Mus musculus: one gene and its partners. The protein of the gene in region 1 purifies or fractionates together with the protein of each later gene. This does not show direct contact. Links are inferred from orthologs where the notes say so. Each region holds a gene or a part of one and is shown in the gene's direction. Other genes may lie near its edges. The genes, in order: Plk1, Satb2 and Topors.

What was found.
Region 2: the proteins of Plk1 (region 1) and Satb2 purify together in Homo sapiens (affinity purification with mass spectrometry; 3 studies listed by BioGRID and IntAct, counting the BioPlex papers as one, with this or other methods). This does not show direct contact. The link is inferred for Mus musculus from reciprocal best matches to the Homo sapiens genes PLK1 and SATB2.
Region 3: the proteins of Plk1 (region 1) and Topors purify together in Homo sapiens (affinity purification with western blotting; 3 studies listed by BioGRID). This does not show direct contact. The link is inferred for Mus musculus from reciprocal best matches to the Homo sapiens genes PLK1 and TOPORS.

The regions. Positions count from the first base shown.
Region 1 is NC_000073.6:122,158,253-122,161,998, forward strand, and holds the start of Plk1 (serine/threonine-protein kinase PLK1), read left to right. Parts: upstream 1-1,182; 5' UTR 1,183-1,290; coding exon 1,291-1,698; intron 1,699-2,283; coding exon 2,284-2,452; intron 2,453-3,254; coding exon 3,255-3,399; intron 3,400-3,746. UniProt on the Homo sapiens protein: Serine/threonine-protein kinase that performs several important functions throughout M phase of the cell cycle, including the regulation of centrosome maturation and spindle assembly, the removal of cohesins from chromosome arms, the inactivation of anaphase-promoting complex/cyclosome (APC/C) inhibitors, and the regulation of mitotic exit and cytokinesis.
Region 2 is NC_000067.6:56,849,286-56,852,931, reverse strand, and holds part of Satb2 (DNA-binding protein SATB2), read left to right. Parts: intron 1-2,548; coding exon 2,549-2,761; intron 2,762-3,646. UniProt on the Homo sapiens protein: Binds to DNA, at nuclear matrix- or scaffold-associated regions. Thought to recognize the sugar-phosphate structure of double-stranded DNA.
Region 3 is NC_000070.6:40,267,042-40,270,787, reverse strand, and holds the start of Topors (E3 ubiquitin-protein ligase Topors), read left to right. Parts: upstream 1-946; 5' UTR 947-1,068; coding exon of another isoform or gene 1,069-1,111; coding exon 1,112-1,114; exon of another isoform or gene 1,115-1,209; intron 1,210-2,286; coding exon 2,287-2,484; intron 2,485-3,746. Other genes in the region: Ndufb6 (NADH dehydrogenase [ubiquinone] 1 beta subcomplex subunit 6), read left to right, coding at 1-9; Smim27 (small integral membrane protein 27), read right to left, coding at 646-750, 1,069-1,113. UniProt on the Homo sapiens protein: Functions as an E3 ubiquitin-protein ligase and as an E3 SUMO1-protein ligase. Probable tumor suppressor involved in cell growth, cell proliferation and apoptosis that regulates p53/TP53 stability through ubiquitin-dependent degradation.

The DNA.
Region 1 (3,746 bases):
GGGGGCAAAGAGGGTGTCTGGGAACAGTGACCAGAGCTGGCCGTTTTTTTCTATGAAAAGCCACACGCCTGCTCTGTGTGGCCACTCTTTTTACATGTTGTAAATCCATTTTTTTTTTTTTTTCGAGACAGGGTTTCTCTGTATAGCTCTGGCTGTCCTGGAACTCACTTTGTAGACCAGGCTGGCCTTGAACTCAGAAATCCGCCTGCCTCCCCAGTGCTGGGATTAAAGGTGTGTGCCATTACGCCCCGGCTCATTTTTTTTTTTTCCTAAGTGAAGGCTGAACGGACACTTCGGCAGGGCAGACTTGGCCTTGGTATACCGGCATGCTAGCACTCTTCTAACCAGCTACCCCCCCACCTCTGACTAAAAAATTAATTTTTTCTATTTGGGGCTCTGGGCCACACAACTTGGAACAACCCAGGTAACCTTGCATCGCGGGGCAGACGTCCGGTGTTTCTTACATATCACAGGGCATAGGAATCATCTGAAGGTCTTGTTTGACCGGCAGGTCATGCCTGGGAAGTTTCTTTCCTTTGGGGTTAGTGGAGCGGTAGCTGAGGCTGATCTCGGCTAACTTGTAATCCTGAACCCACGCCCCTCCTTTGCCTTCTTAGGGAATTCCAGGTGCTGCAGATGCTGCTGGCCTCCTGCGTTGTTCAAGAGAAGGGTTGAGTTACTTCTCAGGGGCTGGGAGCCCCTAGTGCCACAGAGGAGATCGGTCCGTTGCGCCGTGAAGGTGCATCTGCCTGCTGAGCTTGCTCAGTTTTGGGTTTATTTAGGCTAGCCGGGGAGAGGGCTGTCCACCGCGGAGGCGGTGCACTCTCAAGCTACCGGTTGGCCTGGAGTTTCAGTTCTAGAAGGCCGGGTCCGGTGGAGGAAGGTGTTAGATCTTAACAGTTAGGAGAAGCCCCTGGAGGAGGCGCAGGTGAACCACATGAGCACGCCCCAGCCGAGGAGCAGAAAGCAGGACAGAATCCTGTTCTTCTAGGGATCTTCACGTAGTTGCTTCGTTCCTGGTTTCCCAGGCAATCCTGAGCAAACGCAGTCCTCCAGTCCCTGCCCATTAAAAATTTCGCCGGCAAGATCGGAGTTTAAAGGCGGCTGCGCCGTAGAGCACTCCCATGGTGCCGCGCGCTGGGCGGGTTTGTATTTTAAATCCCCGCGGCCAATCAGCAACGCGCAGGCCCTTGTAACGTTCCCAGCGCCGCGTTTGAATTCGGGGAGGAGCGGAGCAGAGCAGGACCCTCTGCACCGACTCAGCCAGGTTCGTGGAGCAACTTCGGCATCATGAATGCAGCGGCCAAAGCTGGAAAGCTGGCTCGAGCACCAGCCGACCTCGGGAAAGGTGGGGTTCCGGGAGATGCAGTTCCCGGTGCCCCAGTGGCCGCCCCGCTGGCGAAAGAAATTCCGGAGGTCCTAGTGGACCCACGCAGCCGGCGGCAGTATGTACGGGGGCGCTTTCTGGGTAAAGGAGGCTTCGCCAAATGCTTCGAGATCTCAGACGCAGACACAAAAGAGGTGTTCGCAGGCAAGATCGTGCCTAAGTCTTTGCTGCTCAAGCCCCACCAGAAGGAGAAGATGTCTATGGAGATCTCAATTCACCGCAGCCTAGCACACCAACACGTCGTAGGCTTCCATGACTTTTTTGAGGACAGCGACTTTGTATTTGTAGTTTTGGAGCTCTGTCGCAGGAGGGTGAGTGTTTCAGTCGCAGTGCTGGGGCTCCCACACCTGGAACTTGCTGACAAAGGGGCACCGAGGTTTTGGAGTGACCTAGAGGAGTGGTTGGGTTTCAAACTTTTATGGAAAGGCTTCTAGCGAGGGTACTTGGCACTCCGAACTGCTGAGGCCGGGGTTCTGGGGAAACCGAGACCAGATCCTGTTGCTATTAGGGATGGAGCTCCCAGACGCAAGGCAGCGAGTCGGTACAGGAAATGGATTCATAAAGTGGCTAAGGAAGGGTCCCAGGCTTGGTGTGCCACGCACCTCTAACTTCCGGAGTGGGGCAGGGTCGGGGGAGGGGGCGGCTGTTTGGAGTCAGATTTTAGAGCTTTCAGGAAAGGGAGGGAATCTCCTGCCAGGAGGAAGCCCTGGGTAGGGGAGTCGAGAGTGGGGTTGAGAGAAGACTCAGGAGAGGGTCTGGTGAATGATAGTGACCAACCAGTGTATGGGTAGAACTATCAGAAACCTGCTAAGACTCTCCACTCCGAGCGTCTAGTCCTAGCCACATCCAGCTAGCCACTCTTCTTGGACTTCAGTGACCTCTTTCTCCCTCCTCAGTCCCTCCTGGAGCTGCACAAGAGGAGGAAGGCACTGACCGAGCCTGAGGCCCGCTACTACCTGCGACAGATAGTCCTGGGCTGCCAGTACCTGCACCGCAATCAGGTCATTCACAGGGACCTCAAGCTGGGCAACCTCTTCCTGAACGAGGATCTGGAGGTGAAAATAGGTGAGGTGCTGGGCCTTCGGGTGTCTGGTGTCAGGGCAGGAGGGGACAAGGAGGGGAAGGTGAGGAAATAGAGATGCTGCCCTCTAGTTAGGAAGTGGAAAGTGTGTGTGTGTGTGTGTGTGTGTGTGTGTGTGTTTGTGTGTGTGTGACACTTTCCTTGCCTTTTTTTTAGATGCATTGGTGTTTATGCCTCAACTCAGTAGTTTTGAACTTGGGGCCCCTCCCCCAAATGCTTCTCTATAACCTAGCACTGAGCCAGACCCTCAGCCAATTTCAGGTCTGGACTTACGCTGTAGAGTATGGCAGGCAGCATCTCCTCAGGTGTCTCTTTACTAAGCTGAAAAACCTGCCCCCTTGAGTCTGATTGGCCAGTCCCTAGATCCCTGTCACTTCTCCACACACTTGCCCAGCAGCAGTCACGAAGATCATCTACTTGATTCCCCAGTGCATCTAATTCTGCTATCCTGTGCATTTTAAATTTCATTTACTTATGAATGGAGACAGGCTAACTTCAAGGAGTCAGTTCTTTCTTTCCACTGTGTGGGTCCCAGGATCGACGTAGATCATGTTATCAGTCTTGGCAGCAAGCCCCTTTACCTCCTGAGCCACCTTAACCACCGTAACCCTGCTATCTAAAGAGGTGTGTGGGAGGCTGGCTAGGGCCAGTACAGTGGAAGGGTTCAGGGACTCTGGGGCCTCAAGCCACTAGTTCTCAATGCTCAGGATCAAAACAGAGCTGCCTGCAACCACAGACAGCCCGGGCTTAGCAGCTGAGCACCCTCTCTTCTTTCCTCTGTCCCAGGGGATTTTGGCTTGGCAACCAAAGTGGAATATGAAGGGGAACGAAAGAAGACCTTGTGTGGCACTCCTAACTACATAGCTCCTGAGGTGCTGAGCAAGAAGGGACACAGTTTTGAGGTGGATGTGTGGTCCATTGGGTGCATCATGTAAGTTGGCAATGGCCTTGGCTCCTGGGCCTCAGCAGGGCTTTCTGAGGCTTCTCACCCAGTTGACTTTGCCATGTGAATCTTTCTACCTTATAGAAAGGCTGTTTTAGTGGACAGGCTGTCCCACATGAAACCCTGCTTTTCATATATCAGTCTGGCGTAGGCTGTTGGATTCCTGTAACTTGACTTGTTGGTCCAGGGAAGGGATCAAAAAGTCCCTGAACTTTTCCTCCTGGCCCTTGGTGCTTACTAAAAGTATGCACAGATCCAAACCATCAACACCTGAGAGCTTGTTAGGAATTCAGAATTTCAGATCTGAACCTGGGTTTAATACAATCCCTGCCTGA
Region 2 (3,646 bases), on another chromosome or scaffold:
ATCTTGAAGAAGGTGGGTAGAGGAGACAGAAGGGAGGAAGGCTGGGGAGGAGGGAGAAAACCAACTCGTTCTTTCTATGCATGGCTCATTATGAGAGAAAGCGCAGAGGAGTATCAATCTTACTGTCTTACTGACCTTGGAAAGTGGGAGCAATTTAAAATCCACTTCCTTTCTTCATATTAATTTAGAGATGTTTAAAAAAAAATCTTTGAAGCAAATCCATTATGAACATTTCAGGTTGCTCAGTTAAAATGGGAAGCAGGGTGACCCAAGGCACAAGTGACTCTTAATTTCGGGAGAATCGATTCATGGAATGCACACTTTCCAGGAAGACAAGTGCCTCACTTGTTGCTCCTAAAAGCATGCCGTGAGATCTGGATTTTCCTTTAATCATTTCAGCAGTAGGATATTTTTACACATACCACCTACCTTGCTCTTTCCTTGAGCACATATGTGCATGCCCACATACTAACTAGCACACAGCCCCCTCCTCCGCCACACATACATACCTTACATACACACACACACACACACACACACACACTTTCTCTCTCTCTCTCTCACACACACACATTTCTTCTAGCTTCATTATGTGGTATATTTTATCCCTATTCACATTCTGACCTCAAGCCAACACCATGTGCTTCCTAGCTATGTTTGTGTAGGCACTTACCCAGGTATTAGGATTCCTCTAATCACAGTAATGTGACCTCTACGTTCAGAGCTAGCAGATGGCACACTGTCGGTAGCTTCCTTGCAGTAGAGTTGTTTTGTATGATTTTAAAAACTAGGTTTATTTATGTATCTCTCTGTATGTGTATGGTATGTTGTGTGCACACCCATGCATGTGCATGCATGTGCACATGGTTGCAGGAGTCAGTTCTCTTCACCTACCATGTAAGCCCCAAGAATCAAACCAAGGTCATCAGGCAAGTGCTTTTACCCACTGAGCCACCTTTCCAGTCCCTGTGTGGTATATTTTATCCCTGAATGATGACTATACTTCCTTGATTGTTGGCAACTGTGTGACATGCCTCCCTATAAATGGTATTTGCCATACTACGGCACAATATAGTAATTTGTATGAAAATGCCCACTATACCCTGCAGACTTCTGTCCAGCCAGAGGATAATTCTCCTTACAGCCACTGCTGTTTTATATGTGAGCTGCATCTCCTGCACTTATATTAATTTCCCTCAGTGCAAAGCATCGTTGGCACGTGCAGAGCTTTACCACAGTCTATAGAAGTGACTTTTTGTGTGATCAAAGTACAGGATTAGCATCTTAGCTCTTCTTGGAGAAACAGTTGTAAAAGTTAGTGCCCTGCAAAAGGATAAAATAAGAATGAGAATATGAAATGATGCTTCTGTGTGATAACCCAACAAGTGCATGCGACAGTAATGGATCTGCCTCTGTCTTAGTATCTCTCTAGCTCAGTGGTTCTCAACTTTCCTAATGGCTCAACCCTTTAATAGTTGCTCATGTTGTGGCACCCCATCCATAAAATTATTTTTGTTGCTACTTCATTACTGTAATTTTGCACCTGTTCTAAGTTGTGATGTAAATATCTCACCTGCAGGATACCTGGTAGGCAACCCCTGTGAAAGGGTTATTCTGCTCTATCAGGGTCAAAGCCTGTATGTTAAGAGCCATTTCTCTAGCTCATCTCCTACTCTCCTCTTAGGCCATGCTGCTGTAGAGTATCGACAAAATCTTTGTGAATTCTGTGTCACTAGAGTACACAAAAACCCTGCTTTTAAAACCCCCATATTGAGTTGAGTCACAAACTCAGAAAACATCAAGTCGATCAAGACATCAGAGCCTATCAGCACTACAGTTAGCACATGCCCCGGTCCCTAGCTAATGTAACCACATTTTCATCACTTGACATTAGAGTTTCCCATGTGGTACCCCACAAAAGTCTGGGGTGCCTCATGGTACCTATGAAAGCATAGCTGCTATGCGTGAAGGCTGGGAAGTTATCAGAGTTGACAGGTTATGTGTGCTTTCTATTCGCCACCTCCCTTTACCTTAGGAAACATCTATATTGAAACCAGTGTCCGGTCATACAGAAATTCAGCCAAACTTTTATTATTTTTTTAAAATCGATGTAAATCTCCCATGCTGTTTAAATGTCGGAACTAAATTTACCAAACTTGGCAGATTCGTAAAGCTAAGCAGGACTGCCAAGAGTTCCCAGTTTCAAGCAGAGAGAGTTCTAACAGCTCCTGAAATACTTGCTGGAGGCACCTGGTGGTTAATTGCAGCTCCATATTTCCTCCTGAGCGCCTACCTTGCTCGCTGGCATTGGCGCACATAGGATTATTACAGCGATGATGAGGTGGCAGAATAGAAGTCCTAAAATAAGGCACAGCCCCGGAAAGGGAACACATTCATACAGACTCCTCCCTAAGGAATTAGGCATGTTCCTGATATTCTCTCAAGCTGGTTATGCCAAACAAGTAGAGGGGCAGTTGGCAAGGGAGACGGAAACCATACCCGTAAATCCGTAGACATGACTTTGCCTATTTTTTCCCCACTCTACCAGGGATTATTGTCAGAGATACTGCGTAAGGAAGAAGATCCCAGGACTGCGTCTCAGTCTCTTCTAGTAAACCTGAGGGCCATGCAGAACTTCCTCAACCTGCCTGAAGTGGAGCGTGATCGCATTTACCAGGATGAGCGAGAGAGGAGCATGAACCCCAATGTGAGCATGGTCTCCTCTGCCTCTAGCAGTCCCAGCTCCTCCCGAACCCCACAGGTGAGCTGTCTGCTCCACACTTCACATACTTCACTCGTGCTTCATGGACATTGTGTTTTTCCTTGAAAACCAAGAAACATCATTGAACAGGTCAAAGGATATAACCTCTGGCTATATCATGAGGTAACCCTGTGCTGTGGAGGTGTGTTATTCCCTTCTCTTTAGGATAACCCCATTCTTCCACATAAGCAGGTGAGGGGACAGGGCAAGAGTAGGAGGTGAGTTCCTGTCTTTTTTACAGTTTCAGAAGAAGAAGAAGAAGTGGGGTTCCTGTGGGGGTTGTGTTTGTATAAGAGCTACTTTATTTTCCTTACATTGCTTGTTTATTTTTCTGGGGGTGGAATGTGGTTGAGGGCAAGAAACAGCAGTTCAGATGCTGCTGTGAGCAATTCAGAAAGATAAAATGGAAGGCAGGAGAGATGGCTCTGCGGTTAAGATGGATTATCATCTTTGTTTGTAATTCCACCTCCAGGGGGATCCTGCACTCATGTGTACCTATGCCACCCAGACCCCCAGTAACAATACAATAAAAAAATTTCCCTTTCCCTTTCCCTTTTCCCTTTTCCCTTTTCCCTTTTCCCTTTTCCCTTTTCCCTTTTCCTTTTCCCTTTTCCCTTTTCCCTTTTCCTTTTCCCTTTTCCCTTTTTTCCCTTTTCCCTTTCCCCTTTCCCCTTTTCCCTTTCCCCTTTCCCCTTTCCCCTTTCCCCTTTCCCCTTTTCCCTTTTCCCTTTTCCCTTTTCCCTTTTCCCTTTTCCCTTTCCCTTTTCCCTTTTCCCTTTCCTTTCCTTTCCTTTCCTCTCTCTCTCCCTCTCTCTCTCTCTCTCTCTCTCTCTCTCTCTCTCCCTCTCTCTCTCTCTCTCTCCATCTCTCTTTCTTTCTTTCTTT
Region 3 (3,746 bases), on another chromosome or scaffold:
CATCATTGAAGAGTCCTTAAAAACTTAACAGACTTGTGTAACAGCACAAGTATGTTCCTAAAGTGCTGTATTTACTGAATCTGTTTCCTGGAAAAGTAATTAATAAAGCTTATTCTCAGAGTGTTATCACTGTCCGTGTTACTGTCCAAAGGTTCTATGATTTGAGACTAACAGTAAAAAGACAAATACTAAACAGAGCTATTAGCTACTTTTTTCTGTCCATTTTGATAAACAGGATGCAAAACACATTTTAGTCACAGTGTTGTTTACATACTGATTTGACATGAGGATGTGAAGTGTTTGAGCACTAGAATGAAAAGCTATGACCTGATACAAAATAGAGCCGGGCGTGGGGGCGCACGCCTTTACTCCCAGCACTCGGGAGGCAGAGGCAGGCGGATTTCTGAGTTCAAGGTCAGCCTGGTCTACAAAGTGAGTTCCAGGACAGCCAGGGCTATACAGAGAAACCCTGTCTCGAAAAAAAAAAAAGGGGGGGGGGGGTGTTGTCCGATCATTTTGAAAAATTGGCATGTTAACGCTTATCACAAAAGGCCACACGCAAATTTGTATTGTGAATTTTACTTTGAGTCTACATAGGTGCCATCTGAAGAAAAGAAGTGTTTGCTAAGAATTACAAAAGTTCGTTCAGAAGAACTTGTCTGGAAACTCCTTCTGTAGTTGTCGTCGTGCAGCTACAGTCGATGCATAGATGACGAATCCCCAAGAGAGCAAGACGATTGCAAGGAGCAACTAAAAGGAGGGGAGGAAAAGCAAAAAGAAGAAATCAATGTGCCGGGTCCTTTCCCTGTGTAGCCCGAGCAAGCAGCTACAGGTGGAAAGGCATCACATGCCTCTAACACAGTGCAGCCCAGAGGCAAGCAGGCCTGCAACCCCTGACGTCAGAGGCGGAAAAGCGTGTCCTCCAGGAAGAGGCGGAGCCGAGGGCAGGGCGTGAACGCTCAATTTAGGAATGGGTTCTGGAGTTCCAAGCTGCGAGCCAACAGTCTACCTTCGGCTCGCGGGCCCTGCCATGGTGCGCTCTGGAGCTCCGCTCTGCTCGGTACCTACCAGGGAGTAAGTCCAGTCCAGGCTTCGGCGACTCATCGGCCTCATGGTAAGGGAGCAGCGGGGACGGGGTGGCAAGGGCCCTACAGCCTGCTCGCGGGCGCATTGCACCCCGATGCAGCAGCCATTTTTCAGCGGGACTCTGCGCGCTCCCGCGGGCTTCCGCCCGGAGTTGGAACACATCACGTGATCCGGGCCTAGCCCGCCTTTCAGGCAGCAGAGGGAATAAAAGAGAAAATGTGAAGATCGCGCCTTTTTTGCGCTCACATAGGAATTCCTTAACTGCTTTATCCTGCATTTGCAGTGCGGTATTAATACAAGATAGTGTGCCATCGTGTGCATATAAAAGTTTATTGGAAAATAGTCCACGGTGGAAGAATCAAAGTTGCCGTCCCACACCCACATCGGTTTCCACCAAATGCGGATAGACCTTCATATGTTTATGCTTGACTTAAACATCTTTTACGTAACAAAAACATCGTTGGGAACTGTTAGTTGAGCCGTTCACCAAGAACAAACAGAATATTATCGCTGATGGCTGGAAATCTTTTCAAATATGTTGTACAGGTAGCCCGCATGGTGGATCTGCCGGCCAACAAGTGTTGACGGGCAGTTTGTCGAATGCTTGGGACTGCAGCAAGTTTGAAATACTAAGTCCCGAGAAAGGCAGCTTGGCAGGCCAACTATCAGGATGCTGGTGGTGTGCAGAGTGGAAGCCTGGCCGGCAGAGGCTGGGCCGCTCGGCTTTGGGCGCAGATGTGTCAGATACATTTTTAGTGTAGATTTCCGAGAGTGGAAAGAGGGAAGCGGGCCGCAGGGAGTTATGGCGGGGTAAAAGAAATGCCTGATGGTCAACCCAGCTGAAATAGACGGAAGGACCAGGGTGCTCTGGGAGCTCAGTCCAGTTCCCGTGGCACCATAGAGAATCCTAACAACTTGTTGAAGTTTGTGAGGTTCCACTGATACTGAGGCAGCCTTTCTGCATATTTGGTTGTGATTGTGGAGTTTGTGCTGTGCCCCCCCGCGGTGGGGGCAGGGCAGGGTCCGGGGTCTGTGCCGTAACGTCCCGCCTCCTGCGTGCGGCAGCGGTTTGGCGCATGCGCCCAGAGCTCGGGGGAAGGGGGTGGAGGAGCGGTGTTTTGCTGCGCGGGCTCGGGGGGTTGGTCTCGCCTTCTCTCCGCCTCCAAACTGCCTGTGGGTGATGAACGTTCTACGTCATAGGGGTCGCAGCCGCCGCCACCGGGGTCTCCGCTGTCTCGCGAGGAGGGTGAAGCGCCCCCTCTGGTGCCTGCCGAGGAGGGGAGGCGCCGAAGCCGCCGGGTACGCCTTCGCGGATCCTGCCGCCACCGGCCGAGCTTACTGAGCCGGCGGGAGCTGGCTTCCAACGGCCCAGCGGTTCCTGCCACCGCGTCCTCGGAGGTGAGTCGGCCGGGAACAATGGGTGAGGGGTTCCAGTAGGCCCTGGAGCAGCCCTGTGGTCTGGGCCTTCTTCCACCCGGAGCTCCCAAGGGCTGGGGTCGCCACGCTGCAGGGCACCTGTGGATCGGCACCGGTGGGCAAGCGAGGGGAGTGTCTCCCTGCACTGCCTGAAGGGCTGGAGCGCAACTGAATACGGGATAGAGCTGTGTGTCGGCGCAAAACAGTTGCCACTGTTAGGAAGTGTGACCTTGGTAGGTCCCCAGCCCTGGACCCTGTCTGTGAAATGGGATCAGCATTTCAGTTGGTCGTGTTTATGTAACATGCATGGTGTGGTTGTCTTTCCATCCGAGACAGTAGTTTTGGACTAAGGAAGCTGTTAAGGCTAGAGGAGTTGTGCAGTGCTACACATTGTGGGCAGGGCTTGTATGCCTTGTGACTTTATTACACATCTAGTTAGTGCCCTTTGCTCATGGGCTGCTGATTCTGATTGGTAGACTGGAGAGGGGCAGTTACGGGATTGAAGGCACGGAGATTAAGACCGGAACTGGGAAGCAGCAGTTCTACTGGGCACCGTCCTATGTTAAAGTGGAGAAAGAAGGAAAAAACGTATGTGTCTTAAGAGTTGAGCTAGTACAGGGTAGAGTGTTTCGTTTGAGAGGATTTGAGGGTTTGGAAATAGATGGAATGCAAAGTGCAGGGCTCTTCAGTCAGTCACACTCAATGCGTATCTAGAAGGAGAGGCTTTCACGGGGCTAGCTTCCAAGCAACCCTCACCCCTTTTATTTTGGGGCAGGGACTTTTGTAGCCAAGAGTGGTCTGGAGTTCCCTACTTTGCAAAGGATGACCTTGGTCTTCTCACCGTCTTGCCTTCATATTCCAGTCTTCTGGGAATGCAGGAATATTCCAGGGTGCCTGGTCCCAATTAAATTTTATTATTACCAGAATTGAAATTCAATCTGGACAGTGGTGGTGCATACCTTTAATCCCAGCAGAGGCAGAGGCAGGCAGAGCTCTGAGTTCAAGGCCAGCTTAGTGTACAGAGTGAGTTCCAGGACAGCCAGGGCTCCACAGAGAAACTCTGTCTAGCCTCACTAAAAAAAGAAGAAATTAAATTTGGTCATTTAGGACTTAACAAATTTTAAACTATTCAGATTTACAAGTAGAATGCAGATTGCTTTTTACCAGTCATTCTGTTTTATCTATTTGTGGATGTTGTTAGCTGCTTTGCTTAGATATGTTAAATATAATTGTTATCATCTTTG